Linked DNA regions of Tamandua tetradactyla. Each later gene encodes a partner of the first gene's protein in a complex. Links are inferred from orthologs where the notes say so. Each region holds a gene or a part of one and is shown on either strand. Other genes may lie near its edges. The genes, in order: UPF3B and MAGOHB.

The links.
Region 2: UPF3B (region 1) and MAGOHB share a complex: the UniProt entries of both Homo sapiens proteins name them as parts of the mRNA splicing-dependent exon junction complex. The link is inferred for Tamandua tetradactyla from reciprocal best matches to the Homo sapiens genes UPF3B and MAGOHB.

The regions. Positions count from the first base shown.
Region 1 is NC_135353.1:46,948,697-46,964,276, forward strand, and holds the start of UPF3B (regulator of nonsense transcripts 3B), read left to right. Parts: upstream 1-9,644; 5' UTR 9,645-9,808; coding exon 9,809-9,964; intron 9,965-10,881; coding exon 10,882-10,988; intron 10,989-11,166; coding exon 11,167-11,273; intron 11,274-13,931; coding exon 13,932-14,030; intron 14,031-15,384; coding exon 15,385-15,495; intron 15,496-15,580. UniProt on the Homo sapiens protein: Involved in nonsense-mediated decay (NMD) of mRNAs containing premature stop codons by associating with the nuclear exon junction complex (EJC) and serving as link between the EJC core and NMD machinery.
Region 2 is NC_135333.1:73,222,705-73,238,097, forward strand, and holds the start of MAGOHB (protein mago nashi homolog 2), read right to left. Parts: upstream 5,455-15,393; 5' UTR 5,390-5,454; coding exon 5,296-5,389; intron 3,103-5,295; coding exon 3,044-3,102; intron 1,538-3,043; coding exon 1,427-1,537; intron 1-1,426. Other genes in the region: tyrosine-protein kinase STYK1, read right to left, coding at 12,244-12,448. UniProt on the Homo sapiens protein: Required for pre-mRNA splicing as component of the spliceosome. Plays a redundant role with MAGOH in the exon junction complex and in the nonsense-mediated decay (NMD) pathway.

The DNA.
Region 1 (15,580 bases):
ATGTGAACCGACATTCCAGAATAAACTTGGAATATGTCATTGGTAACAGAGACCAGCAGGAGTTAGAAACAGGGTAAGATAATGCGTAATTGGAGCTGAAGGGATACAGACTGTGCAACAGGACTAGATACAAAAACTCAAAAATGGACAGCACAATAATACCTAATTGTAAAGTAATCATGTTAAAACATTGAATGAAGCTGCAACTGAGCTATAGGTTTTTTTTTTACTATTATTATTACTTTTATTTTTTTCTCTATATTAACGTTCTATATCTTTTTCTGTTGTGTTGCTAGTTCTTCTAAACTGATGCAAATGTACTAAGAAACGATGATCATGCATCTATGTGATGATGTTAAGAATTACTGATTGCATATGTAGAATGGTATGATTTCTAAATGTTGGGTTAATTTCTTTTTTTCCGTTAATTAATAAAAAAAAACCCAAAAAAAACAAAACAACAAAAATAAATAAATAAATAAATAAATAAAAACACCTCCCTACCTTGTATCATTTACAAAAATTAACTCAAAGTGGATCAATGACCTAAATATAAGAGTTCAAACTATAAAACTCTTAGAAGAAAACATAGGGGAAATATCTTCATCTTCAGGACCTTTTATTAGGTGATAGATTCTTAGACTTTACACCAAAGCATTAGAAACAAAAGAAAAATAGATAAATAGGACTTCATCAAAATTAGAAACCTTTGTGCATCATAGGACATTACCAAAAAAATGAAAAGACAACCTACAGAACAGGAGAAAATCTTTGGAAACCATGTATCTGATAAGGGTTGATATCCAGAATATATAAAGTACTTTTACAATGAACCAACAAAAAGAGAACCCAATTTAAAAATGGGTTAAAAGTATCAGTGGTGTTTCTGAAGTGTTTTCATAGTTCTCTTCAGAAATAGTTAAATATTGTGCTTTTCAGAGCTTCAGAGAAGGGAGATTCAGGATTGGGGGGACTATCTATTTGTATTGGGCCAGCCTAGATGATATTGGCAACCAAGGTTTTATTAGGGTTTCTGTGCATATAGTGTAGTAAAGAAGTATCATTCAGGGGTGAAAAACAAAGAGCATTTTATCAGTGTTGAGAATATCTGGCCATTCTATAGCCTTTTTCTTCTCTTCCCAAAGAAATCCTGTTCCCTAACTTTGAAACTGTTGGGATGGGGCATTCCTTTAGGACCAACGAAAACATAATGTTGGAGTCAGTGATATATTTGGCTGACACTGGCTCAGTATTCTCTCAGGTCATTATATTCTCTCATATACAGTTACAGGAAATTAAAATGTTTAAGTAATGTAAAATGAGTCAGGCCAATAAAATCAAGGGAAATACAAGTTGAATTCCATTACTTCTGTAGATGCTTGCAGCATGCTGCCCACCAGTCCGTGCACTGTTCTGACACTTTACCTAGAAGGAAGACATGTACAGAAGTCATAGAGGCATGAGTAGAGTAAGTGTTAAGGATGATAGTCACGTGTCTTTGCTCTTTATGCCTTATGCTTAAGTCTGGTTTAAATCTTTTGTACCTTGCTAATGGTGGTATAAAGTGTGGGATAGTGTCATAACCAGTTTGACGATTTATTAATCACAAAATAACAATAAATCTCTAGCTTTTAAAAAAAAAGTATCAGTGGCAGAGAGAGCAAAGTATCAGTGGCAGAGAGAGTTCAAATAGAGTCAAGGTCGCTCTTACGCAAGCTTCAGGTAGACTTTGCTACCTATCATAACCTGCCAACCCCCAACCAGGACCATTCCAGCCAATCCTAAAGAACACCTAGAGCAATATATAAGATTCTACAAGGGTTCCAGGCACTAGAGTAACTTTCCAGAAACCTACAACCTCCACATAGGTCCCCGGTCCAGATAAGTCCTGAAACCTAGCCCAGCCTCTCTAGAACATCAGATAATTCCATTTCCCTACCCCGTATTAGTGACAGACCCTTCCAATATCAAAAATTTAGAATTGCCATAGTCTAAACAACCCTAAAGAGAGAGATGGAAAGATCAAAGGTGATGGTAGAATTATACAAAGAAGATAGGATTTAATAAATGAGTATAAATGCTGAATCATTAGATTGCTATCTCTTTTAGTCTCCAGTATTTTAGAGCAGCTAGAAGCAAAAACCTAAAATTGTAGAATTGTAACCCATGTCAAACTCTGAAATATGTTCTACAACTAATTGTAGTGCTGTGCTTTGAAATTTATAGCTTTTTTGGAGATATGTTAATTTTCACAAACAAAGGAAAAAATTTTGATTGTGATGATAAAAAAAAAATTAAGCCCTCTAGCCTCCTATATTCTGGAGCAGCTAGAAAAAAAATATGAGAGGATCATATGGTAGCCCTTGACAAACTCAGGGACCTGTCCTGTAATCATTTGTGGAAGAATGCTTTGAAAACTATTGTTTTTTATTTCTTTGTTTTGCATACATGTTATACTATACAATAAAAAGTTAAAAATCAAAAGAAAAAATGGGCTAAAAACTTGAATAGATGTTTCTCCAAAGGAGTTCTATACATGGCATAAGCACATGAAAAGATGTTTAATATCATTATTCATCAGGGAAATGCAAATCAAGCCACAATGAGATACCACTTCACCCACTGGGATGGCTATTATTAATAAATAAATAACAAGTGTTGGCGAGGATGTGAAGAAATAGGAACCCTCATACATTGTTGATGGGTATGTAGAATGGTGCAGCCACTGTGGAAAACAGTCTGGGGGTTCCTCAGAAAGCTAATTATAATTATAGAATTAAAAGATGATCTGGCAATTCCACTACTAGGTACATAATTGCAAGGTTAAGTAAAAGCAGACACTCAAAAAGATATCTGTATAGCAATGTTAATAGAAGCATTATTCACAACAGCCAAAAGGTGGAAGCAACCCAAGTGTCCATCAACAGATGAATGAATAAACAAAATGTGGTATATACATAAAATAGATTATTCAGTCATGAAAGGAAATGAAGTCTGAAACATGCTACAACATGGATGAACCTTGAAAACGTTATGCTAAGTGACAGAAGCCAGACATGAAAGGATAAATATAATATTTATCCACTTATATGAAATATCTAGAATAAGTAAATTTATAAACACAAAAAGTAAATTAGAGGCTACCAGGAGTTGGGAGAATGGGAATTAGCAGTTATTATGTAATGGGTACAGAGTTTCTGTTTTGGGTGATGAAAAAAATTTGGTAATGTATAGTAGTGATGGTAGCACAATACAGTAAATATAATTAATGTCACTAAATTGTATATTTAAAAACGGTTAAAATGGCAAATTTTATGTTAGGCATATGTCTCACAATAAAATTTTTTTTATTAATTAAAATTTTTTGAAAAAATACAACAAACACAAACATTCTTAACTTATGATCATTCCATTCTACATATATCATCAGTAATTCACAATATCGTCACATAGTTGCATATTCATCATCATGATAATTTCTTAGAACATTTGCATTAATTCAGAAAAAGAAATAAAAAGAAAACAGAAAAAATTCATACATACCATTCCCCTTACCTCTCCCTTTCACTGATCACTGGCATTTCAATCTAAATTTATTTTAACATTTGTTCCCCCTATTATTTATTTCTATTACATATGTGCTACTCGTCTGTTGATAAGGTAATAAAAGGAGCATGAGACACAAGGTTTTCACAATCACACAATCACATTGTGAAAGCTATATCATTATATGATCATCTTCAAGAAACATGGCTACTGGAACACAGCTCTACATTTTCAGGCAGCTCCCTCCAGCCTCTCCATTACATCTTGAATAACAAGGTGATATCTATTTAATACATAAGTATAACCTCCAGGATAACCTCTCGACTCTGTTTGGAATCTCTCAGCCATTGACACTTTGTCTCATTTCACTCTTCCCCCTTTTGGTCGAGAAGGTTTTCTCAATCCCTTGATGCTGAGTCTCAGCTCATTCTAGGATTTCTGTCCCACGTGGCCAGGAAGGTCCACACCCCTGAGAGTCATGTCTCATGTAGACAGGCGGAGGGCAGTGCGTTTGCTTGTTGTGTTGGCTGGAGAGAGAGGCCACATCTGAGCAACAAAAGAGGTTCTCTTGGGGGTGACTCTTAGGCCTAATTTTAAATAGGTTTGACCTATCCTTTGTGGGGTTAAGTTTCATATGAACAAACCCCAAGACTGGGGACTCAGCCTATTGCTTTGGTTGTCCCCATTGCTTGTTCTCACGATAAAAATTTAAAACAAAAATCAAACTACAAAGAGATACCACTACACACCCACTAGACAATAACAAGTGTTGGCAAAGGTGTGATTCAATTTGGACTCTCAACACACTGCTTCTAAGAGTGTTAACTGGTATAACCATTTTGGAAAACTGTTTAGCAGTATCTACTAGAGCTGAGCATATGCTTATGCTATGATGGAGCAATTCCCCTCCTGGGTATGTATTCAACAGAAATGCATACATATCATCACCAAAAGACATGTACTAGAATGTTCACAGCAGCACTATTTGTAACAGCCACAAACAGTGGAATGGTTAAATTGTGGTCGATTCATACAACGGAATACCAAAGCAATGAAAATGAACAATTCACATCTCCATACAATAACACAGATAAATCTCATAGTTGTAAATATTGAAAGAACCCCAACAATAAAAGAATGCATTCTGTATGAGTCATTTTACATCAAGTACAAAAACATGCAAAATTAATCAGCAATGTTAGAAGTAAGGAGGTGGTATTCTTGGTGGGGGGAGTGATGGGGAAGAGGCACTAAAGAAGCTTCTGGAATCCTGGCAATATTTTGTTTCAATCTCAAAACTAGTTACATGAGTGTGTTCACCTTGTGAAAATTCATCAAGCTATACACTTATTACTTGGGCACTTGTCTATACATGTGTTATACTTTAGTTAAAAGTTTAATTACCACAACTTCTCTAATAAAAAATTTTAAAAGTTTAATTAAAAAGAAAGTTTACAGTGTTTGATATGCATAATAATGCTGCAGTACCAACATCACCCAAGATGTCCACATCCTATTCCCTGGAACTGTGACTATGTTAGGTTACATGGCAAAGGGCATTTATGGTTGCAGGTGTTATTAAGATTACTAATTGACTATTAAAATAGGGAGATTAGCCTGGATTATCCAGGTGAGACCAATATACTCAGAGTTCCCTAAAGTGGATGGTGGAGGCAGAAAAGAGGATCATGGAAAGAGACATGATAACAGAAGCAGGGTTAGAAAGATGTTATGTTGCTAGTTTTGGAGACGGATGAAGGGGCCACAAATCAATGAAAATGAGTAAAATCTCAAGAATCTGGAAAAGACAAAGAAATCAAGGAAGTAGATTCACTCCTAAAGCCTACAGAAAGGAACTCAGTCATGCCAACACCTTGATTTTAGCCCAATGAGACCCACTCTTTCAGTTTGCTAAAGCTGCCAGAATGCAATATACCAGAAATGGATTGGCTTTTAAAATGGGGATTCATTAATTACAACCTATAGTTTTAATTTACAGTTCTAAGGCCATGAAAATGTCCCAATTAAGGCATCAACAGGATGACACCTGACTCTGAAGACAGGCCACTGGCATCTGGGAAACCTCTGCACATGGGAAGGTACATGGCCGGCGTCTGTTAGTCCTTCTCTCCTGGGTTTTACTGCTTCCAGCTTCTGGCTTCAGTGGCTTCCTCTCTGAGCTTCTGTAGGTCTTCTCTTAACTTCCCTGCGGGTTTTCTCTATGAAATTCTCTGGGTTTTTTTCTGTCATTTCTCTCCTAAAGGAGTCTAGCAAAAGGATTAAGACCCACATTTAACGGGTTGGGTCACATCTCTATTGAAAAACCCTAATCAACAGGTCCCACCTACAAGAACATAGGAACGTCATTACTGCAGGGTGTTGAAAATTGATAGTAATTAATATTTTAAAATTTTAACTATGTGTCACACTATAGCAAAAAATGTTTTGGTACAAAATTTATATTTTGACTAGTGCATTTCCTAATATAACTTATGTAGATGGCTTAATTGAATACCGTAAGTACATGGAACCCTGAGTAGGGCATGATATTTTGTTGGTTTGTCCAGAGTGATGCCCCGATAAATCCCAGAGTGATTTTAACAGTGAATAAAAAAGTATGTGCAAAGTCCCCTTCGAGGAATGGTGAGAAAGGGGGAAAATTCAACTTCCCCAAGTTGAATTCTTGATATTCTCACAAGCAGTGAGGACAACCAAAGCTATAGGCTGAGCCCCCAATCTTGGGGTTTGTCCATATGAAACTTAACCCCACAAAAGATAGGTCAAGTCTACTTAAAATTAGGCCTAAGAGTCACGCCCAGGAGAACCTCTTTTGTTGCTCAGATGTGGCCTCTCTCTCTAGCCAACACAACAAGCAAACTCTCTGCCCTCCCCCTGTCTACGAGGGACATGACTCTCAAAGGTGTGGACCTTCCTGGCAACGTGGGACAGAAATAATAGAATGAGCTGGGACTCAGCATCAAGGGATTGAGAAAACCTTCTTGACCAAAATGGGTAAGAGTGAAATGAGACAAAGTGTCAATGGCTGAGAGATTCCAAACAGAGTTGAGAGGTTATCCTGGAGGTTATTCTTACGGATTAAATACATATCACCTTAAGATGTAATGGAGAGGCTAGAAGGAACTGTCTGAAAATGTAGAGCTGTGTTCTAGTAGCCATGTTTCTTGAAGATGATCGTATAATGAAACAGCTTTCACAATGTGACTGTGTGATTGGGAAAACCTTGTTTCTGATGCTCCTTTTATCTATCTTATCAACAGACGAGTAAAACATATGAAATAAAAATAAATAATCGGGGGAACAAATGTTAAAATTTAGATTGAAATGCTAGTGATCAATGAAAGGGAGGGGTAAGGAGTATGGCATGTATGAATTTTTCTATTCCTTTTTCTTTTTCTGAATTGATGCAAATGTTCTAAGAAATGATCATGATGATAAATATGCAACTATGTGATGATACTGTGAATTAATGATTTATATATGTTGAATGGAATGATCATATGTTAAGAATATTTGTGTTTCTTTCTTGTCATATCTTTTCTAAAAATTTAAAAATTAATTGAAAAAAAAGTCCCACCTACAACAGGTCTGCACCCAAAGGAATGGATTAAAAGAGCATGGCCTTTTCTGGGGTACATAACAGCTTCAAACTAGCACACCCATGTTGGACTTTCAACCTACAGAACCACAAGATAAATTTGTGATATTTTAACCCATTAAGTTTGTGATAATTTGCTACGGCAACACTAGGACTAACACAATTGGTGTGGGGGAAGATCAAGTGTTATGTTTTGGATGTTGTGATGTTTTAGAGCTATGTAACCAAGAAAAATATTCTTAAACTTAATCCATTCCTGTGGGTATGAATTGTTGTATATAGAAATGTTTGATGAGGTTTTTTCAATTAAGGTGTGGCCCAGCTGAATCAGTATGGGTCTTAACCCTATCACTGAAAGCCTTAAATGGACGGTTACAGAAAGAGAGATAGCCAGAGGGAGCAGCCAAAAGCTGAAAGTCAATGGAACCCAGAAGAGAAAGGAGAAGCCAGGAGAGTCTGCCATATGCATTGCCATGTGACAGAAAAGCCAAGGTCCAAGCATTGCAGGCAGCAGCAAACAACTCCAGTCTTCTGGGAGAAAGCATTGCATTAATAACACCTCAATTAAGACTTCTCTTAACCTCAAACCATAAGCCACCAAATTCCAATTGTTTACGATAACCCATTGAATTGTATTTGCTTTAGCAACAAGGAAACCGAAACAAATGTGTTCAGAGATACTGGAGACATTAGATACCCAAGAGGAGATGTCAAGTAAACAATTCGCTATGAGTCTGGAATTCAGAGAGAGAGATACACAGTGGATATATACATTTAGAGTTGTCAGAAGACTGGATAAGCTCAACAAAGGAGTATCGATAGAAAAGAGTTCTAAGGACCGAGCCCTGGGACACTCTATTTCCAATAACTGATATGTAACTGGTGGTTTAAAGCTAATGAGCATTCAAAATGGGGGTATACACCAAGATGTAAGTGCAGAGTTATGGAGGATGTCAAAGGAATATACTTAAGCAAGGCTTATAAGAACAGGCAGGTATTGAAAGCAAAAGTGCAAAACAGGCCACAAATTCAGGGAAACAGTCTTTGCAACAGGCATTAGGAACTCAGCATAGGCTGGGAAATAGGGGTGGGAAAATTTTAGTACAGATCTGAATAATATATTCTAGACATTAGCAAAAGTAGGAATTTGGTACTGAGCCAACTTTCTGCTTTGGGCTCCTAATGTATCCTTAAGTTGGTATCCTGCCTTATGTGAATATCTGTGTATCTCTCTAGCTTATCATTTGTTTTCTCTTCCATTTCTCCCCTTTTTCCCTAAATGTTTTCCCTTGTACCTGGCAATCACTGATCTGGTTTCTATCACTACAATTTTGCCCTTCTTTAGAATTTCATGTAAGTGGAATCATACAGCATGTCCTCATGTCCTCTCTTTGCGTCTGCATTCTTTTACTTAGCATACTTAGCTTGAGATTCATCAATTCTGATGCGTGATATCAGTTCGTTTTGTTGCGGTGTATTTCCTCGTACCAACGCACTTTTTTTTTTTAATCATTCATCACTTGACCGACACTGGACTCTCTCCAGTTTGGGTCTATTAAGAATAATGTAGGGAACAAATGTTAAAATAAATTTAGTTTGAAATGCTAGTGATCAATGAAAGGGAGGGGTAAGGGGTATGGTATGTATAAAATTTTTTTCTGTTTTTGTTTTATTTCTTTTTCTGAATAGATGCAAATGTTCCAAGAAATGAGTATGATGATGAATATGCAACTATGTGATGATATTGTGAATTACTGATTATATATGTAGAACGGAATGATCAAAATAGGAATGTTTGTGTTTGTTAGGTGTTTTTTGGTATTTAAAAAAATAAAATAAAATAATTTAAAAAAAGAATAATGTATAATTGACTTTTTTTAACTGAGGAGGGTTACCCCAACTAAGTCAAAGTAGGTTTTACTTTATTTTTTCCTCCTTGTGAGGCATCAATACAATAATAGAATCCTTTCTTAAATTATAAACGAGTGATGAAAACAAATCTCACATATTTTAGTCATATTAAATCCTTCATATACCAAATCTTATGAGTATTTATTAAGTATCTGGGAATCAGCTATGGATCCTAATCAATATAAGGAAAATACTGAAGTTTCTGAAAGTACACTTCAGAATATCAAGAAAATACAAGCCGTTCCCGTAGCAAGGCAAATTTTGGATAACACTGGATTTATACGAGGAAAACAAAGCTAAGTGCAGCCCGCAGAACCTATATCTTTCAAGATTAAAGGATTGGATTTACTTACAAATAGGGACCCTGGCCTCTCTCAACCAGAAGGGGCAACTGCTTTGTATGCCGGGACTTGTAGTTTTCGAAAGAGTCTTTTTATTTAAGACGGTGGTGTTAGCCAATCCTGTGCGAAGGAGCGGGCCCCAAGGGAGTCTGGGATATGACAGGATTCGGCCGTGCGAGAAGTAAGCACCAGGTGTTGAAACTTTTCTTCGGAGGGAAGCCTGGTGCATGAAATCTCGCGAGGTCTTGGCACTGCCCAATCAAACGAGCGGCGGAGCTCGTAACTAGGGGCATTGTTGGGGGCGGAGCTCTGACGGGAGCTGGGCTGGCTTCGTTAGGTTCCCGGCGCAGCAGCGTTCTGGCGGAGCAGATCTGTGAAGAGCGTAGCCGTGGCCATGAAGGAAGAAAAGGAGCATAGGCCGAAGGAGAAGCGGGTAACCCTGCTAACGCCGCCGGGGGCTACCGGCAGCAGCTGTGGGACTTTGGGGGACAGTGCCAAGGGAGAAGATAAGCTGGATCGCAGTAAGGAGAAGAAAGAGGCAATGAGCAAGGTACTCGGTCGACTGTTGGCCGGGGAGAGGGCGGAACGCCCCGCCGCCAGTGGATGATGGCTGGGAATGGGGGTGCCCTCTTCATCTCCTCGTCCCCCTCTTCCTCCCTCGCCTGAATGAAAATCGCACCACAGTGCCTCATCCACTTGCTCGAAATGAGGGGAGGGGGGAGCTCCTACCGGCCAAGCCCGGCCGTGGGAATGAGGAAAAAGGGGGGCTCCCCAGACGAGAAGGGTTTAGGTCAAACCTGTGAGATGATAATTATGAAGTGAGACGGTGCGCGACAGTGAGGAGAATCGGAAATTTAAAAGTTTATTGAGGAAAATTATTAGGAAGTGAAGGGAACATCAGGTGCGGGAGTAGCCTGTGATAGCAATATTAATGGAAGCGAGTTGGGGAAGAGTGTAGGGGGAATTAATGGTCTGTGGAAGGCGAATGGGGAGCATCTTATTTCGGGGGCAGTGGTGTGAATGTTTTCATGCTCGTTAGAGTTTGAATTCATTGAATTGAATGAAGGATTTTGTTTTAGGAGGTGTTAGATGTGGGAGAGAAAGATTAATGAATCAAGAGTCCTTGGCACCCACAAAAGACCAGGGTTGACTTACTGATTTACCACTAGACCTGTTGAAAAATGGGTAATAGAAAAATGGTGCGTAAACCTAGAATACCGCGGGACTGCGAGTTAAGAGCAGACTCTAAGATTTTCCTAATGCCAAGCGGTTCTCATTTGTAGGAATTTTTTTAAAACCGCCTTACTATTATGTTTGACTAATTCTGATCGTTAGGCTACAGAAAATATTTTCTCCTGGGTTTTTGTAAGTAATGACTTTTAAATCTCATCCTTCCTTAGGGATTATGATTCCTTCAGGATTGACAGGAAATTGATTTTTACTAATTCCTTTATTCATTTTTTTAAGGTGGTGATTCGGAGATTACCTCCCACTTTGACCAAGGAGCAGCTTCAGGAACATCTTCAGCCTATGCCAGAGCATGATTATTTTGAGTTTTTTTCTAATGATACTAGGTAAAAAAAAAAAAAGTGGGATGGGGTGGTAAATTAGAAAAAGATTTCTTCTGTTCTTTGCATTCTACTAATATTTTCAATTTGATTTTTGAAACTGTCTCTTTATTTAATGTACATATACTTGTAATTCAACCAGATACCCACCAGTTTATTAACACAATTGCTTTCCTCTCTGCAGTCTGTATCCTCATATGTATGCCAGAGCATACATCAACTTTAAAAACCAAGAGGACATTATTTTATTCAGGGATCGCTTTGATGGTTATGTATTCCTTGACAATAAAGGTGAGCATATCCTCAGTGCCTTCATAGCGTTTCTAAAATCCTGGGTGGTAAAATATACAACATTTAAAAAGTTTTACACATGTGAAAACCTTATTGCAGTCTTTTAAATATATATGTGATTTTTCACAGCCCTTGAGTATTTTTATTGATCTGTTATTTCTGTGGTTTGATCACCTGCATGAAATTGCCACCAATTTTTTTTCATACAATAAATTTTGTGCCCTGGATTACATAACGTTATTTGGATTATTTACTAGTCTCAACAGCAGTACTGATAAATGACTCTTTGAACTTGTAAGACAAGTTTTATATATTTACTTATCATCTTGCTTCAAGGACCAACATTTATTTAATTATTTAATTCAAATCCCTTATAGCCCATAGTTTCCAGTTAGAATACTGTTTAATGTATTCTACATGCAACACAGAATTCTCCCTATTTTGTATGTAATTAAGACATGAAATTTGATGATGTTCCTCTTTGTACCCAGGAGGATCCAATCTATAGGGAAGAAACATTTTCACCTTAGCTTTCTTTTTATTATCTGCTGCTTATAAGCTATAGATAGGGAATGTCTAAACTGCCATTGGTCACTTTTCCTTTAGTTCTGCAATCCTAGGTAAATGGAGTGTCGTTTGTTTTGTTTTTTCGGTATTATTTCAAAGTTGATAAAAAGTCATTCTTGAATGAGCTGGGACTCAGCATCAAGGAATTGAGAAAACCTTCTCGACCAAAAGGGGGAAGAGTGAAATGAGACAAAATAAAGTGTCAGTGGCTGAGAGATTACAAACAGAGTCAAGAGGCTATCCTGGAGGTTATTCTTATATTAAATAGATATCACCTTTTTAGTTAAGATGTTAATGGAGAAGCTGGAGGGAACTGCCTGAAAGTGTGGAGCAGTGCTCCAGTAGCCATGTTTCTTTAAGATGATAGAGCTTTTGCAATGTAACTGTGTGATTGTGAAAACCTTGTGTCTGAAACTCCTTTTATCTACCTTATCAACAGATGAGAAAAATATATTAACTAAAAATAAATAAATAATAGGGGGAACAAATGTTAAAATAAATTTAGTAGATTGAAATGCTAGTGATCAATGAAAGGGAGGGGTATGGGGTATGGTATGTTTGAATTTTTTTCTGTTTTCTTTTTAATTCTTTTTCTGAATTGATGCAAATGTTCCAAGAAATGATCATGATAATGAATATACAACTATGTGATGATATTGTGAGTTATTGATTATATAACAAGAATGGAATAATCATATGGTAAAAAAATTTTCATTCTTTATCAGCAAATATGCCAGTAAAAGTTGGATTGCTAACTGTGTTTGGCCAACTTTTATTAATACCCCAAACCAGCTGCTTCTTTATTCCAGTATATAGTAATGATTTCCTAATCATTTAGCCTGATCTGAATTGTGTTTAACTTTTCTTCCTTTTTCATCCCTTACATTTAAATAAATGATGAATTTTGTCAATTCTTGATTTTTTTGATGCAGACTTAAACTTTCACACTTTATGACATTTTTTTTTCATGTAGACTTACACTTTCACGGTTTATGTCTTCATCTAATGCTTGGACAATCACTGCCTCTAAACTTGTAGAATTTTCCATTTATATATAACTCAGTCTATTATATTACCAGGAAATTAATCTTTTTGAAAATACTGATTTTAAGATATAGCAATCATATAAAAAAAAAGTCCAGGGCGGGCCAGGGTGGCTCAGCAGGCAGAGTTCTCCCTGCCATGCCGGTGCCTGCCCATGCAAAAAAAAAAAAAAAAAAAAAAGTTCAAACTCCTTAACTTGGTATTCAGGATCCCCCGTGGTCTAAACTCCCTTCTGGTGTTTTTTTGAGCCTATCTTCAGTTTCCCTCTGCTACAGAATGGTCTCTATCCTCTCCTAAAATATAACACAGTTATTAACCTAATCTGATTCTACATTCACTAGGATTTCCAGAATCATGTTTTTTCCATGACTGCTTTGTGATGCCTCCTGGCCAATTCTTGTTATTTCATTCTGGCTTGCCTCTATGCCAGTGATCTAAAGATAATATCTTATACCTTGTGCGACACTGTTCTCTGATTGGGAACTGATACATATTTTTTACATAACAACTTTATTGAGATTCTTACATATAAACTCACCCTTTTAAAGTATACAGTTCAGTGGTTTTTAGTATATTCACAGGGCTGTGCAGCCATCACTGTAACCTAATTTTAGAAACCATTCATCAACCCCACAAAGAAACCCCATATACTTTAGCTGTTAGTCTCTATTCTCCTCACCCCTCCCCCAGTTCTAGACAATCACTAATCTACTCTCTGTTTCTATAGCTGTACCTATTCTGGATATTTCTGATTTTTTTTTATTGAAAATTAGATTGTATTTAGGTTTCACATATCAAAATATCACATTTTAGAAGTTGAATTTAAATAAATATTTTTTCTTTCCTGGCACATTTTTTTCATTATGTTGTCAGTGTGACATTTGGACTCCTCTGATACCATATTGACTCTAGTTGTGTCAGTGTGTTTTATGCTCATTGAGAGGTGTCATCAAAGAGGCCCTAGAAAACTGTGGGTTGACTCACTTGTATCCACTTTTGACATTTTCTTTGTTATAGCAGGTGTGTTGTTTTCCTTTTTCTAAATAGGTCAAGAATATCCTGCTATAGTAGAATTTGCCCCCTTTCAAAAAGCTGCAAAAAAGAAGACTAAGAAAAGAGATACCAAAGTTGGGACTATTGATGATGGTACGCTATAGCTATAGTTATGTAATGCTATTGCCGTGTTTTTGTTTTTTTTTAATATTACCTTTGTGAAAGCTAGTTAGACCCCAGTACTTTGCATAAGAAAGTATACTGAATAAAATTAATGAGAAATGTTTGCCAAAGGAGGTGTTTTTAATTGTTAGAATGGAGATAGGTTTCCTGCAAAGAGTTTCCACTCTCTTTTGCTGGTGGCATTTCAGTCTCCATAATCAAGTAGTATAGTATTAATTATTGAGTTGCAAACCACCATAAGTCTATTGATTAGAAGACAATGGAAAAAATCAAATGTTTCAAAGTATAACAGCTGTTTCTTGAGATCTCTTAACATTTTCATGATTGACGTTTAGTTTTCATTATCCTTATATAAGTAAAAGGTGTATTATTGAGAGCCATGATGGAAAATTTTCCATGTCTGAATAACTTAATATAAAGCAGCTGAAGTGGTCAATCCTATTTCTAGGCTTTGACTGTGCAGTTACCTACAATAATTAGGTTGAACTGACGTATAGGAAATGACAAACAGGAATAACTGCCATTTAAGGTAAAGCTCTCTGTAACCAGTTTTTTCTGTTCTTTGGATAAGGCCTTGGCCCCGATATTTTATATCAGATTGATATTTTAGAATTATCTTGTTTGATGTCTCATTCACTTCTGTAACTGGTATTTTATAAAGAAAACACAATAAGGACCAAATAACACACAGCCACTTACTGATTATATCATGTATTCAGATCCAGAAGTCTGGATCAAGTGACATGCTCAACAGTGCATAGAAAGTCCAAATAAAAGCAATATAATGACTCAGATGTGTTACTCTTTCTGATATTAGGTGTCTAAGGAAAACTCCAAGAATTATCATCACTTCCGGTGCCACATCTAGGATTTCCCCATGATTTATCTTTTAGGGACACTTGGTTTTCATGTTAAGTTCACTTACAGTGGGATATACCCATGTAGGGATTGCTTACATGCAATGTTTAATACCCTCTGAAGATCCTGTGGCTATACCTTTTAGTTCTCCTGTAAGTGGGATTAGTAGGAACAATGACATTTAAAAGGAAATTATATGACATGCCTAGTGTGTCTGTTATAAAGCATGATGTCTCATTTTCCCTGATACCTGTGTTATACAAAACTCTCATGGTAGGTATCAGTAATTGGAGTTCTGAGAATAAGTCCTCAGTAAAATTTAGTCTATCTTGTATGGATATGATTTGATGTATTTTCCAATCTTTTATGAAGTAGAAAATTATCTTCTTTGATACATAAGTATCCTAGATAATATTCCTTATTTTGTTTAAAGTCTGCTTTTCTGTTTTCTTTATTGATTATTTAGATCCAGAGTATAGAAAGTTTTTGGAAAGTTATGCTGCAGATAATGAGAAAATGACTTCTACTCCAGAGACATTGCTAGAGGAAATAGAAGCAAAAAATAGAGAATTAATAGGTAAGTAGGTAAAAGGAATTAAGGGCAACAGCTTTTTCTCAGAATACCTATGTCTGGCTCCTACTTCCATTCACTTTGTAGATTT
Region 2 (15,393 bases), on another chromosome or scaffold:
TTTGTAAACATTTGCTGTAATCCTTAAAATATCCTTATTAGATAGGTTTTATTCATCTAATTTTATAAATATGAAATCCAAGATTCAAAAAGTACAGAAAAAAATTGCTATTTACAACCACTGGTAAGTAATGGTACTGATATTTGAACCCAAGAGACTAAGACTCAAAAGACCCACACTCTTTTGAGTTTATAAAACAATTAAAATTAAAAATTAACAAATATAATACAAGATAGATGATTCTAACATGCCATAATTATATAAGTTTTTCTCTATACTGTCTGTCTGTAAATCTGAAATCATTAATTAAGAGGCTATGTCTATAGCTAGTTTTCCAGTCAAACTGACAAACAGATGCCATCAGAGACAGCCCTAGGTATATACTGATCAACAAACCTAATTATTTACACTTTGTAGCAAATATCAAATGGAGAATTAACTAGACTCTCAAACAATCATAAAATACTTGACTGAATGATCCAACTGATAATTTCTGAAGCATGCCCATTCTTCCCAGCTAACAAAAATATGTGAATACATAACAGCAAGTGGACAGATGAAATATTGGGCTCTCCCTGAGTCTAAAATATACGAAAAGTTTGTTGCTGTTTCGTTTCTGTTTTTTAGTACATATGTACATGAAACAAACTGAAGTCTAGTTTTACTTTCAAAAATGTTACACTGCATAAAATAAATACTATTAATATTACCTTTGTGTTCCTAAATACTGTTTCTTTAAATAGAAGAGTTAATTTACTGTTACAAAATGTCAGTATCTGTTAGATTTCTCCACATTTTCTTCTAGTCAAAGGAGGTAATATAAAGCATACTCCTCAGGAATAGATAAGAGTGAACTTAAATGTTTCTTCCTTCCAAAGGTGGTACCTCATTTCTCCAAGAGTTGAAAAGACCCGATTTAGAAACCAAACTGTCTTTTCACAGAGTGAAATTAGGCCTTCAAAGTTCTTCAGAAGCCCTTGGAGAAATATCAGTTATTCTAAAGAGAATATGAGAGATAAAGGCAATAGTCAGTTTGAACAAAGAAAGCAATCAAATCCCTCTCTGGGTAAAGGATGCAGATAAGAATTCTGAAAGTTATAAATTTGGAAAAAGTGAATTTTATATACTCAAAGAGAATCATAAGTCTCAAATAGAATAAGCAACACTTGTAGCTATTCCTAATAAAAGCGGTTAACATACAATATAAATTATTCACAACAGTATGAAAATATTCTAATTTTGGCTGGGGTGTCTACAGAGAGACTAAGGAGTAAGATGTCTAAAAATAGAGCTAAGCATTTATTCCTTTACTACTAAGATATAGGACAGAAAATGGAAAATCAAAGGATCAATGAGGAATGATTCTAAGGGAAACATACTATCAATTTTTAATATTTCTGCATTAATATCTCTACTAAATACAAACCTGTCTGCCAACCCTGTCAGGGGGAGGCCACAAAGCATCATCTTCTTTTGTAATTTCACTGTCATCAATAATTCTCTTCAGTTCTTCCATTACACTCTTATGTACATATGCCTGAAAATAAGTTACAATAAAAATTTCATGATGGCTGCCTATTTTTTTCCACAACTGAGAAAGAAATAATAAAAAGGGGTTATAAACACTGAATATTCAAATAAAATATCATAGAAAAAAAATTAATTCTGATTCCAAAAGTACAGAATGGTAATCATTCACTTTTCTTATTTGTCTTCACTCTCCAGCCCTTTCCTTTAATTTATATTTTCTCTCTTTTATCCCCAGCCCTCTTTTTAAATCTCCCTTTAAAATTCTGCCTTTGAAACATGGGGACTCAATTTCAGAGTGGTTTATGGGAGAACAGAGGCAAATGCCAAGGACACATCACAGTCAGTGCTCCAAACTTATTCCTACACCTAACTTTTGAGCCTCTGATTTAAAATTAATACTATTTTTAAATCATTATAATTGGTTTTAAATCATTAATAGAGCAAAAAGACAAAGTTAATAGTAAAATGAATTACATGCTATATTCAAATGTGGACTACTTAATATATTTAGATTGCTTCTTTTGTTATTACAGACGTTATGGTTATCTCATTTAAATTGAATCTCTTCTTAATCTATAAAGTTGCTTCTTCTTTACAACAAACAGCCTTAGATGTACTTTCGTAGCTTCAATAAATACATGAAAAAAATGAGCTAACCACAATCTTAGGGTTTGTTCATATGAAACTGAACTCTGCAAAGGATAGGCTAAGCCTACTTAATATTAGGCCTAAGAGTTACCCCCAAGAGAACCTCTTTTGTTGCTCAGATGTGGCCTCTCTCTCAGCCAACACAACAAGCAGACTCACTGCTCTCCCCCTCTCTACGTGGGACATGACTCCCAAGGGCGTGGACCTTCCTTTCTATGTGGGACAGAAAGGTACTCAGCACCAAGGTACTCAGCACCAAGGGATTGAGAAAACCTTCTTGACCCAAAGAGGGAAGAGAGAAACGAGACAAAGTAAAGTGTCAATGGCTGAAAGATTCCAAAGAGAGTTGAGAGGTTATCCCTGGAAGTTATTGTTAGACATTAAATAGATATCACCTTTTTAGTTAAGGTATAACAGAGAGGCTAGAGGGAACTACCTGAAAATGCAGAGCCATGTTCCAGTAGCCATGTTTCTTGAAGATGATTGTATAATGATATAGCTTTAGCAATGTGACTGTGTGATTGTGAAAACCTGGTGTCTGATGCTTTTTTTTTATCTACCTTATGGACAGATAAGTAAAACATACGGTTTAAAAATAAATAAATAGGGGGAACAAATGTTAAAATAAATTTAGTAGATTGAAATACAAAAATGAAAGGGAGGGGTATGGTATGTATGAATTTTTTTCTGTTGTCTTCTTCTTTTTTCTGAATTGATGCAAATGTTCTAAAAATGATCATGATGAATATACAACTATGTGACAAGAGAAAAAAGAATGTTCACATTGTGTGTTTACTGGTTTTATTAATAAAATTTTTTTTAAAATGAACTAAATATAAGAATTAGATATTTAAAAAGAACTTACCTCTTTTCTGATCATAACATCATTTTTGTAATTGCTGTTGTTGGCATATCTAAGCTTTCCTATGGGAAAAGAAAAAAATTCAATCTGTAACAGCAGAAAAGGCTAAAAAAATATTGTAAGCAATTTTGAAGGTAAAGACCATTTTATGCTGCTATTTTATTATTATTTCCTCCTTCATGCTTGGTGAAAAAGATGCTCAATAAATATCTGTGGGTAAGTTGGCTGAAGCTAGCCAAATTTTTAAATATTCCATTCCTACAATATATGACAAAAGGGTCATTTTTAAGGCCCCTTTTCCTAGCTATCACAAATTAGCAAAGGATTTTGGAAAAGGTACTAACATTTATTTTTCAGGTTATAAATCTGAACTGGTGCTAAGTGGTTTAACTTAGCACATCTAATCGAATCTAAAAGCAAACCTTAGAAAGGTTTTATTACCTCTATTCACAGGTGAGTAAACAAAGTAACTTGCCCATGGTCACACAATATTCAAATTTATATATACTGTCTTCCTATACTCATGCTTTCTCCACTACTTCAAAATGTTCTTTTAATTATTTTCCTTCAACGTAAATGTAATTATAAATATGGCAATACTAATGCTTTAGAATTGTGACTAGAAAGTATACAGACTACACAAAGCTCCCATACAGAAGTTGACTAGTTTGTTGGCTGGTTTATATTTAATTTTAACACATCATGACTTTCATATTCCCTGATGCACACTTCTCATTGCCAACTCGTTGACCAGGTACAGAAGCAAATTTTGTCTTGATCATCTGCATTTAATGGTAATAGGGTACCCTACTGAGGTGTATCCTTTAGGTACTGTCTTTGCGAGTCATTGTTACTGATGGAAGTATGTAGAATGGTTTGACAGCAGGTAAATGGATAAGAAGCACTGTTCTGGGATGAAAATTCCCTAATAGCCTCAGGGTACTTCATTTATGTAACTGAGTAAAAGTGATATTGAAATGCTGGATGGTGGTCACAGGTGAGGATACTGTGAAAACTGTATCATGTTAAGGAATAAATAGGTGAAGAATTCAGCTCCTTTACCTCCTTAGCTAAATTTGGAAAAGATATGGGGAAAACAAGCCTGAATAAGGTAATAAGGGTTTCTCATCTGCAGAGCAATAGTTACCTAGATTCCTGCCTGAAATGTCTATACTCTTCCCCTTTCCTAATATGTGACCCTCTCCCTAATTTTTCTTTCATGCTTTCGTAGAACCTTTTCCAAAGCATGATTACAGCACTTCTTATCCATACTGCTGTATGGTCTGTTTCATTTCTGTGTCTTTTACCAAGACACAACTCATTGAAGGCAATTAAAGAGTCTTACCATTACAGTATTCTCAATTTCTGTATATGACACTTTGCCCCAACACATAATATGCATTCAAAAAGGAAAAATCTAATCCAGTTGAACTGTCCTGTGACAGGCAGGCAGAGTTCAATACGCAATAAAGCACTTTAAAAGAGTTTGTGCAGTCAAGAGATCAAATTTGCTGTACATTTCGTGAGTGCTGGGAGTTTCACCTCGCCCTCTACTCATACTGTTTTGGTAGTCTGGACTATCTCCCTCAAAGGTCATGAAAATACCTACTCTTATTCCAAAACTCATTTCTAGGAAGCTTTTTCTGACCCTCATCAGATAGAGCTAATCACTAATCACTTTTCATGTCTGAATTCCTAACGTACTACTGTGGTAGACAATCGAACCCCAAACACATCATTTCACTCTTCTGTATACACTTCGGGGACTCTCCCCTTCAGAGCAGGTGTCATTTCTTTCTTGACCTGCTGCTTTACACACACTGCCTGAATGAAAAAAAGTGAATGAATGGGGAGAACGAAAAGTAATCAGTCACTGGAAAATTTTAAGCATACACAGGCCCACCGCTGGGTAGGGTGTTGTTATAACTGCCCAAGTATTAGACCTTCTGCCACACGGATTCTAGGATTCTGAATACCACTGATTCAACTTTTCAGTGTGTGACAGTATTAGCTTTTCTGAACTCACACCAATTAATCCTTTTAGTCACAAGAATCAACTTAGGCTTCCTATATTCTTCAGCTACTTACTTCGGCTCAAGCAGCGGCTTCAGCTGCCACAGAACACTTTCAAGTCCACCGCGGCTTGCTCGCTCCACCCCACACCCCTAGTCCTTCGCCGCCTCTTCTCCTGGCTTCCCCTTTCCCGACACCCCCGCAGAGTTGCAGTGCCAGCAGCCCCCCCCCAGCCCACTCACCATCCGGCCGAAACTCAAACTCCAGAAACTCGTGTCCAAATTTGCCTTTGTGCCCTACGTAGTAGCGTAGGTAGAAATCGCTGGCTAGAGACATTTTTGTTTCCGGGAAGCCGGCAGAAGGCCTGGGCAACGTGCCGTCCGGCGCCTGGGAGTGACGTCAATCGCCCCGGATTAGCGCGTCATCGTGGTCGCCGCGCTTCCGCCTCGCAGATTCTGCGAAGGCAAGAACAATGGCTGTGTCTCGTGGGAGAGGCTCCGGAGAGAGCAAAGGCAGGTCAAAAGTGACTTGAACTGCTTTGCGGAGATCGGAAGTACGCTATTTTAAAAATTAAACGGATTTTGTCATATTAGCAGAAGACGAAAGTATGAAAATACGGTACTGGTTTTTTGTGTGTGCGCTTAGTGCTAAGGATTGCAAGTCGCTTTATTCTGGTCTCAAGTCTCGCGCAGTTGTAGGCGGTGGATGTGGCTTTACCCAATTTTAACTGGTTAAGTGAGTGAAGATAAAACCCAGAGTCGATGGGAAATTCGTCATACAACAACTTTCTCTACGTGATTCCTAACACCGGGTTTTCCTTTTGAACGATGATTGTTAGTTTTCCTGGAGACGGACGCCTGTAATAGAGACACAAAGTATAGAAGTAGCCCTCTGAGGAGATGTCTGAAGTTTTGAAAAACATATTGAAACTGAAAATTCTGACAGCCTTGGAATAAAAGAGTTCCTTTAATAGTAGAAACTTCTTAGATGCTTCATTCACTGTGTAACTGTTAACCTTTAGTGACCTATGGAGTTTTGGCAGTTTGACTCAAGATCAAATAACGGTTTAATCCAGGTTTCTCATATAGATAGATATAAAATTGATAAAAATAAATTGAGAAAGTGAAGGTAAGTTCTACTGTGAGGTAGTTTTGAAGATGGAAAAGACAAGGTGAGCTTTTACACAAAGTCTGGTTTTCTGATATTGGACAACCTTCTGTTACGAACAGTTATGTGTCAGATGACCCTTAACCTTCACTGGAATTTCATGGAAAGAGTAGCAGTCCGAAGACCTGAGATTCAATCCCAACAGAACTACTACCTAGTTCAAGTTAGTAGTTCTAACTTGTTCAAATCACTGTATGTTCATCAAGGAAACAGGTGTACTACAAACAAGCTTTGCCAAACTCATGAAATTGTTGATTGGAGTAAATGAGATAATGTGTGCGAATAAGCTTTGAAATTTATAAAATACTACGTAATGCATTTTAACAAGCATTTTCTTATTTGTCAGAAATAAAAAGAAAGACTTTTGCACTTGTAGTCTAGAAGAGAAAACAAACATGGAGAAAGGTATTAGCACAAGGAAGCAACTGCTATATTAAAAATTTGTGGAAAAATATGCTGATAGTGCAGGAGAGGAGCAAGTGTATTGCAGAGAGAGGAAGCTGAAGAAAGGTATCAAGGAAGGCTTGTGAAAAGGTGTGCTATTTTAATTGGACATTGACAGATAACTTCAGTGTGTCTTCAGTGGGATGATATGGCCTGGGCAAAGGCACAGTGTTATGAAAATACTTGGTGTTGGAGAATCCAAGAAATGCAGTATACCTAGAACATAAGATTCTCTGAAGTAGAATAACTAGAAAGACAGACTGGGCCAAGGTATGTTGGACCTTATAAATAAGGTGTTACTATATAACTGTTTCTATAGAAATTTTACTTGGTATGAACTACTATAGGCCACCATTATGGAAAATACATAAGAAACATAAGGCACCATCCCTAACCACTACAGTGACAAACCAGTCCAGTTTGTCCAGCCTGTAAGGTTTGCTAGGATGTCAAAACTTTCAGTTTTAAAACCTGTGAGATCCCAGACAAAGATGATGTGGTCATTGTACTTACCACATGAATAACCCACTGAAATTTAACCACAATATTCAATACAACTCTGAAATATTTACTGTAATCCATTTATTTATGTGGTAATTTGGAGCTATGCAACCAGAAGAATATGTTTTTAAAATTAATCTGTTCCTCTGGGTATGAACCCATTGTAAGTAGGACCTTTTGAGGAAGTTACTTCAGTTAAAGTATGTTCCAACTCTATCAGGATGGGTCTTAATCCTATTACTGGAGTCTTTTATAAGTAGAATGAAATTCAGACAAATAGAAAGCAAGAAGTTGAAGGTCAGAAGCCTTCAGAAGAGACCACCATGTGCATTGCTGTGTGATGCAGGCGCCAAGGACCAAGGATCACCAGCAGCCATCCCTTGAAGGCCACTCTAGGGGAAGAAAACGTCACCATGATGATACCTTGATAACAATAAAGCATAGATTTGGACTTCCGGACTAAAACCATGAGTCAATAAGTTCCCATTGTCTAAGCCAACGCATTACATGGTATTTCTTTGAGCAGCCAAGAAAACTAAAGCAATTTAGTTTCTATGGGAAACCTCGTTCATTGTCTTTAGATTTCCTAATCTGTTTCCTTCAAATTTTTAGTCTATGTGCCAGTATTCCTCTTCATGTCTACTTAAAGAGAGCTATGGATACTAGAATTTTTGACTATGTAAATAAAGCTCATGGAATATGCAAAGATTTAAGGTCTTTGTCAATGGGCCAGTTTTGGTTTTTACCCTCCTAGAAAGGCTTTTAGGCTCAAGACTAATCCCCTCTAGCTCTACCTGTTTTTATGATATAATATGAAAATATATTTACTCAGCTCTTCATATTTTAACCAAAATAGCAAAGCTAAAATATGTATTTCTCTAATCATGATAAAGATTGCAAAGTGACTAAAGCATTTGTGTTTTGTAGTCTTCTCAGATGTTACCCAACAACAATGTGGAAATGTTCTGTGTAGACAGCACTTGAAATGTAGCTAGTGTGACTGAGGAACTGAATTTTTAATTTTTAAATATTTAAAAATTTTTGTTCATCTAAATTAATGTTTAAGTAGCCACATCTGGCTAGCATGATGGACAGTGCACTTGTATAAAGCCCTTTTTTTCTTTTTACATTTTTACTTGGGCTGGGAATAGTGAAAGCATTTTGTGAGTGTGTTTAAATCTCAGTAGCTCTAGGCTTCACATTGCGGCATACTTACTGGTATCACCACAATTTACTTATGAAAATAAATGTTTGGGCTGCTTAAATGAAGGCAAATAAAAGTCTTTCATTTGGACTGCTGTTTTCAGCTTTGCTAACACAACCTATCTTTGGTCAGCTTCAAAGCACCTACATGAGGATGGTGCAAGATTAATTGATGAAGAATTCTTCCTACCATCCTGGAGCCCTGGGTTCAATTCCCGGACCCTGCACTTCCGAAAAAGGGAAAAAGAAATCAAAGCACCCTTGTGAGGTATTAGGAAATAAGCACGTGATTTCCAATTTCAATGAAAATTGAAAAGAAATGATTTAATCAAATAATACACAACTTTAAAATTGGCAAAATAATTCTTTCCTGCTACAGTTTTTTTGTCTGTGTGTGTGTTTTGTTTGTTTTAATTTTTGCTTTCAGGTAAGGGGGCCGGGGTCAGAGATGATTCTTTATCATTACAAATTTATTCTTTAAAATGTTCTGATTTCTCCTACATCTAAAATTCTCTCTTCCTTTGATCGGTTTTTCATATCCCCACTGTCCTCCCCTCCTTTTTTTTTTTTTTGTCTTTATACCTATTTCAAATTATCAAATCATTCCTATTTTCAATTTTCAGAAACATGGGCTAACTTTCCTGTGATAAACATTGGGGGTGGTAGTTTTACTCTCAGTTTTCTTTATTTTATCAATCACTTTTGAATAGTCCTTTATCCGTCTGTCTACCCTTGTCTTCTGAAATAGTCTTCCTATAGAATTTTAACCATATCTGTCTTTTTAACCACTCAGTGGTATTACTTTTTAACTAAGAGAGCCACTGTCATGCAGAAAAAACAAAATTTCCACACCGTTCTTTCTCAGATATGCTCATTCATATATTATGAGCACTTGCAGCTATTCTAGATTATCATGGCATGATATATTTAACTCCATTATTCAAACTAGGAATTGTTTTCTAGTGTATGATGATATTGAATGCTTCTAACATGTATCATAACTGCTAATTCTTGTGTCCAAAACAACAACGAAAGAGTCTGTTGAATTAAGCATAGGCCTGGTCTGGATCTTTCAGTACTTGAATTATTTAAGTGAGTTATGTTAGTCCAGAATTTTATACATATATAACAGCAATGTTAAGATTAATAAAATTCTATCCATTAACTTATTTTTTCTTTTTAAAAACAGTGAAAAATCCCCACTATTATTCAAGTTTAACAGCAGAATACCCTAAATCTAATGTAAGGATACTAATATCTTCATGAGCATAATTTGAGAACTATTGGTTCAGACTATTCCAAATTAAACTATGTTATCAAGTTTCCATTAGTTACAGTATCCAAGTAGATATTTTCACAGTTCCCAGGATTGTTGGAAATTTCTTAACAATAAAGCATAGATTGAGCAAACAAGATTGGAGGAGGCAGGACTCAAAACAGCAAAACATATCCTAACTTGAATTAAATAGTAAGTATTTTAATAACTTTTTCCATTCATCATCCTCCGTTAATTTCCATTCATTTGGTTGACAGGTCAAAGATGCCAGAAATATAATCACTGTTTTGGAAAAAACTTGGCCATGTGAGCTAAAGACCAAGGTTTCTTAGAGTAAAAAATTACTGTGTCCAGTTTCACAAACCTATAACTAGAAAAATAAAATAAAATTAGAAATAAAAATTTAAAAGAGCAATTATCTGCTTCTTTCCCTCCTACCAAAACAAATGCAAAGATACAGTGTGAAAAAGCAGTACCCCATTTTAGCTTTTGCCACTTTCTCCCTAATTCACCAGGCTTGGACTACACTTGTTTCTTGCATTTGCTTAAACCAACTATGCTTTTTTTTACTTCAGGATTTCATACACACAGCCCTTCCTGTTTTTGTCTGGCTTACTTACCCATATCTAAGTCTTCAGTTTAAATACTATTTCTTCATGGAGATCCCCATTCTATACTGTATTCTTCATAGAACTTAGCACTGATTTATAATAAACAGATATCTACACAAATAAATATATAATGTCTCTACTCTTGACTATAATCAAAAGTGCTCTATTTCTTTTATCTCATCATACCTAGCAAGTATTTGGTGTAGTGGGCCCTAGGACTCAATTTTTTTAAAAAAAATTTGAATAAATACTCCCTAAATTTGACTTAAGTGAACTGCTGAGAAGCAACAATGGGATTCCAGAGGACATTCTTATTATGTGCTAAGATGCTCTACCTTCCTTCTCGCTACTGCTACTTCCACCCATTTAAATCCTGACATTGTAGTCATTGTGGTGTTTCAGCAGGTGCCAGCATCATTACTCGGTTAGCCGACTCATGACATTGTCAGGATTCCAACTTCTAAAAAGTTTACCACTGCCTGTCATTTTCCCTGTAGGAGTCTTAGGTGTCACTCCTAGAGTACCTAGAGTATTCTTTAAAATCAGGATCACCATGTTCTACTGAATTTTTTTTATCATGCTATTTCCAATATTTTGAAATAGTAGGCAACTATTATTACCATTCAGAAGTTCACATTAAAAAGATGACTTCATCATTTTAATCGTGGTATGTGTATCATCATTTGTAGGCATGGCCTGCCTTGTGGTGTGGCTGACAGACTAAGGTTCTCTTCTTAGCCTTGGCAGATTTTAAATGAAAAAGATAAGAAAAGTTTAGGGACAGTAATGGGGAAAGTGAGGAAACTAACATGTATTTAGCATATATTATGTACCAGATAATGTATACAGTATACACGCTCATCCATTCCTCACAAAACCCTGTGAGGGGTAGGTATTGTGCCCATTTTACACATAAGGAATCCCTTTGTTGACAAAATAAGTTGTCTCTTCAAATTTTCTATTGATATAAAATCCATTTATTTACTTTTATCATCTCTAGAGACTTTGGCTGCTGTCAAATATTATTATTTCAATAAATATTTATTTAATGAAATGGTTCACAGTACATCAACAGGTGACTAGAAATTAAAAGCCATCCTACCTCCTTCTCTGATTGCATCCTTTTCTATCCCTTTTAAAAGACCTTCTAAGCTTTCTGACTTAGTTTCCACATTTCCTAATTATGAAGCACACAAACAGCATTTTCATCACTGTCAACTTTGACTCTTTAAGTTCAGTCCCCTTAATCTTACAGGGACCAGGAAGTTTGCCTGCTGAACAATACGTGTCAAATGTTATTCATGAATCGATTCCTCCAACCTTCTAGTTAAAAGCAGTACCAACAGTATTCTTCTGTTTTAGAATTAGATAAAAGGGACCATCTTTCTCTTTTTTTATACCCAAGAGGAAACTCAGGAGTTTTCCTTCTTGGTTATTCTCTATCCCAAGAAGTAGGGACCTGGACTGAAGAACTTAATGTCCTTCCTCCCCACCTACTCTTCAAAGGATGGCTTTGCTCCACACCTATATTCTCCAGCAAAGAAAACCTTTAATTTTATTTCTCTCCAATTCCTTCATTGGCTTCCAGTTCCCTTACTTGATTCCAGCTTCTCTTATAATAGTCTAGATAAAAGCATGCTTCAGGAGGAAAGTAAGCTGGAAGAAAACAGCTTATTTGTGCCATGCCCCAACAAATACTGCAGATTCCCTAAACCTCCTTTGCAGTGACACTATCCACCACTTTTATCCTGGATCTTTAAGAAGGTTTTAAGAATTGGGCTAGAAAAAATGAAGCTGACATTATTTTTCAGCCTCAAGGTATGGTGGACAGCTTCAGTGAGCATCATTTCAGGTCTCTAGGGAAATGTTGGGTGAAGACCCAGGGCCCATGTCCCATTTCTCCCTTTATGTCCCACTAGAAAGTCCACTTTCTGTAACTGGTTCCAAGAGTATATGATCAATCATAACTGTTTCTTCCTGAAGGGTCCTCAAAGGATGCTGTAGTTGTAAGAAAGTCTCTCCACACTGATGCCCGCCACAGCAGCATACAGTTCAGGTACCACTAACTCTGGTACTTGCAATACAGCCTTGTCATTGGCAGTTCGAGCAGCAGTTTCTAGGCGCAAACGAAGCTCTCCAGGTGAAGGGCGGCTGTCCTCACTCCAGCGCCAGCAGGACTTCATAAGACTATACCTGAAAAGGAAACAAGAGAAACTGACTTCCTTAGCAAAGGAAAAAAAAAAAAAGTATATGCGGAACATGATCCTTTCCCAACAAGCCTTAACAAAATAGTGTGCAATTCACTAATTTACTTCTCTTTGCTCTGTCCCTCATATTCTTTCCAGAGACTAATGACATTCCTTCTCATCCTCTCTTAATATTATATTTTCAACTGACTCATTTTATAAGGACTCAAAATTTTTCAAACCACAGCCACTGTGACAGAAGAGCGTTTTCACTCTACAGCCAATCACTGTTACAGAAATTGAATATTCTCGTCTTTGCTGTTATTAACTTGCAACATTCCAGACAATCGCTATAACTTATCTACCAGGAAAAGCAACATTACAACCAGAAAAATAAGAAGTTATGGAATAATGTGATTTATAGTAATCTCAAATAATGTGATCAGATTCTTCTTTCAATGAATCTAGGTCATTTTCCTTCTTTATACTTTGACTTAAAGTCTAACTTCTCTAGGAAGTTGCCTTAAAATAAAATTACATCCACTTTTAATCTATCTTTTCTTCAGTCTGGCCTTCAGACAATGTATAGTGTAATCTGTTTTGAAACACTTTTTATCATATCCCATTCTTGCTCAAGAACCTACAGTGGTTTCCCATTGCTTACCATATGAAGTCTACATCTTCCCCTCTAGCTTCTCTACCTTATTGGCCCTGCCTAGCTGCCTCTCCTCTCCTCCAGTTATATCAATCTCTTGCCATGCCCTAGATGTGGTTACCAGTGCCCAAACTTGCCTTTGCTTGTGCCATACCCAGTTCTTTGAATAACCTCTCCTGGCTACCATTTTCTACAGGGCTGGTTTAAACCTCAATTCCTCTATAAAATCTTCCCTCATAAACCTCAATCTAATATGTTTCCCACATTCACACATGCATCAGTGAGACTTTGTAAATGCTATTACTTTAATAATGCTTCTAACATTTACCAAGAATTTGTTATATGTAAAGCATGATAATGAGACTTAAATGTATTATTTCATTCGAGCCTCACAATAACTTTAAGGTGGTATCATTATTATTTCTACTTTAACATAAGGAAGCAATGTACAGAAAAGATCAACAATTTGCCCAAGACCACACAGATAGTAAGTAGCAGGGCTAAAATTGGATTCCATGTCTTTTTAATTCTAGGACATGAGACTGAGTTTTTAACCTTTTGCTATATTGCCTCACACTTTATGTTCATTTCCATAGTGTTTCAGGTATCTTCCCATCAAAATGTTAAATTCTTCAAGATCAGTTACCTTGTTAGTTTTCTAACTCTCTCTACTATTAAAGACAATCTTTACACATAGTAAGCCTAAAATAAATATTGGTCAGCAAATTTCAGTCTAATATATTCAGCCAACATCACCTTAGACATATATTTGTATATGTATACATAGTCATGATATCTTATCAACCATTTATTATTTGTTTGATGCAGTAACTACTTTTTTACTGTATGAGAAACCAAGTGCTAAAAATTTACCCCTTCGGTGCTAAAATATTTACAGAATATCAACAATTCCAATAGAAATGTTCATCAATATATTCTTTCCTGCCTTATTAAGGGTAATTTGACCTTTTCTTAAGTTCTATAACAATTCTTTTTTGTACTTTATTGGTGATAAAATTATTTATGTCACCTTTTGTCAGAAGTGGATGAGACAGGTCACATGCATGCTGCAGAGATAAAGCAAAGCTGTCTCTGTGGGAATGGGCACCTGATGTCCTGAAAAGACTAAAGTGTTGCAAAGCTGTTGGAGTCTGGGGCTGAAGGAGGCCTTGGGAAATATGTGCAACTTTTGACTCATCCCAGCACAGGGAAGCAGATGGTTCAGCTGGTGCTTACTACTTCCCTGTTGTTTAGTTACACGTTTGTTACTTTCTTTGTCTCACAGCCCTATAAAATAAACAGTGCTGAAACTTTTGTGGTCTTTGAGTCTCATTCAGAGCTCAGAGTCCCACCTGGTCCCAGCTTTGTCTCTTGTCTTTCTTTCTTAATTCCCAGTTGCCTCCCTTCAGTTCCAACACTGAGCTGTGCTGGGCGCAACTTTTAATTTTTCTATTTTTCCACCTCTAAATTGTTCAGCAACTGTCCCTTTCGTATGGCAATATTGTACCTTCCTTCTTCCTTTCTAATTTCTAACTCCATTCTGGTTTGATTCTAATGTGTTGATATCTGGGAAGACAGACAGTCAATAATTTTTAAAAAATTAATATTAAATAGGGCAAGCCATGGTGGCTCAGCAGGCAGACTTCTCACCTGCCATGCTGGAGACCCTGGTTCAATTCCCAGTGCCTGCCCATGTAAAAAAATATATTAAATAAGAGCCAGTGTACTATGATTGAGTAACTCTAGTGCAATGGGTTTTATGACAACAATTTTATAACTGAAGCTACCACAAGACTGACATTTGAATAAGTAAAACACTACTGTACCTGCTTTGTATTTGGTCCTATTCTTACCTATTTTAGAAGCTTCCTGAGGAGTTAAACTTTTATCAAATTCAGATTCCTAATACAGTATTTAATGGTTGCCCCCAAATTGTTCATACATATAAATTTAAAAACATGTACTTTATGGCATGATTGTTCTGAGGCTATACAATAATAGCTCATAAAGGTCAGTTTGGGATCATCTGGGCCATTTTGGAAAGGGCATAATTGAATGAGGACAAAAAATCAAAGTGAGAGAAAAGCAGAACTTTAAAAAGTCATTTGGAGGCGGGGCAAGATGGTAGCATAGCAAGGTGTCAAGTTTATTTTGTCCTTCAGAGTAGCTAGTAAATAGGCAGGAATGGCACAGAACAACTGCTGTGGGAACATCAGTGACTGGGCACACAACATAACCCAGCCTGGACCACGTGGAATGGCTGAGACCCCACACAGAATTGTGGGTCCCCCAAGCTG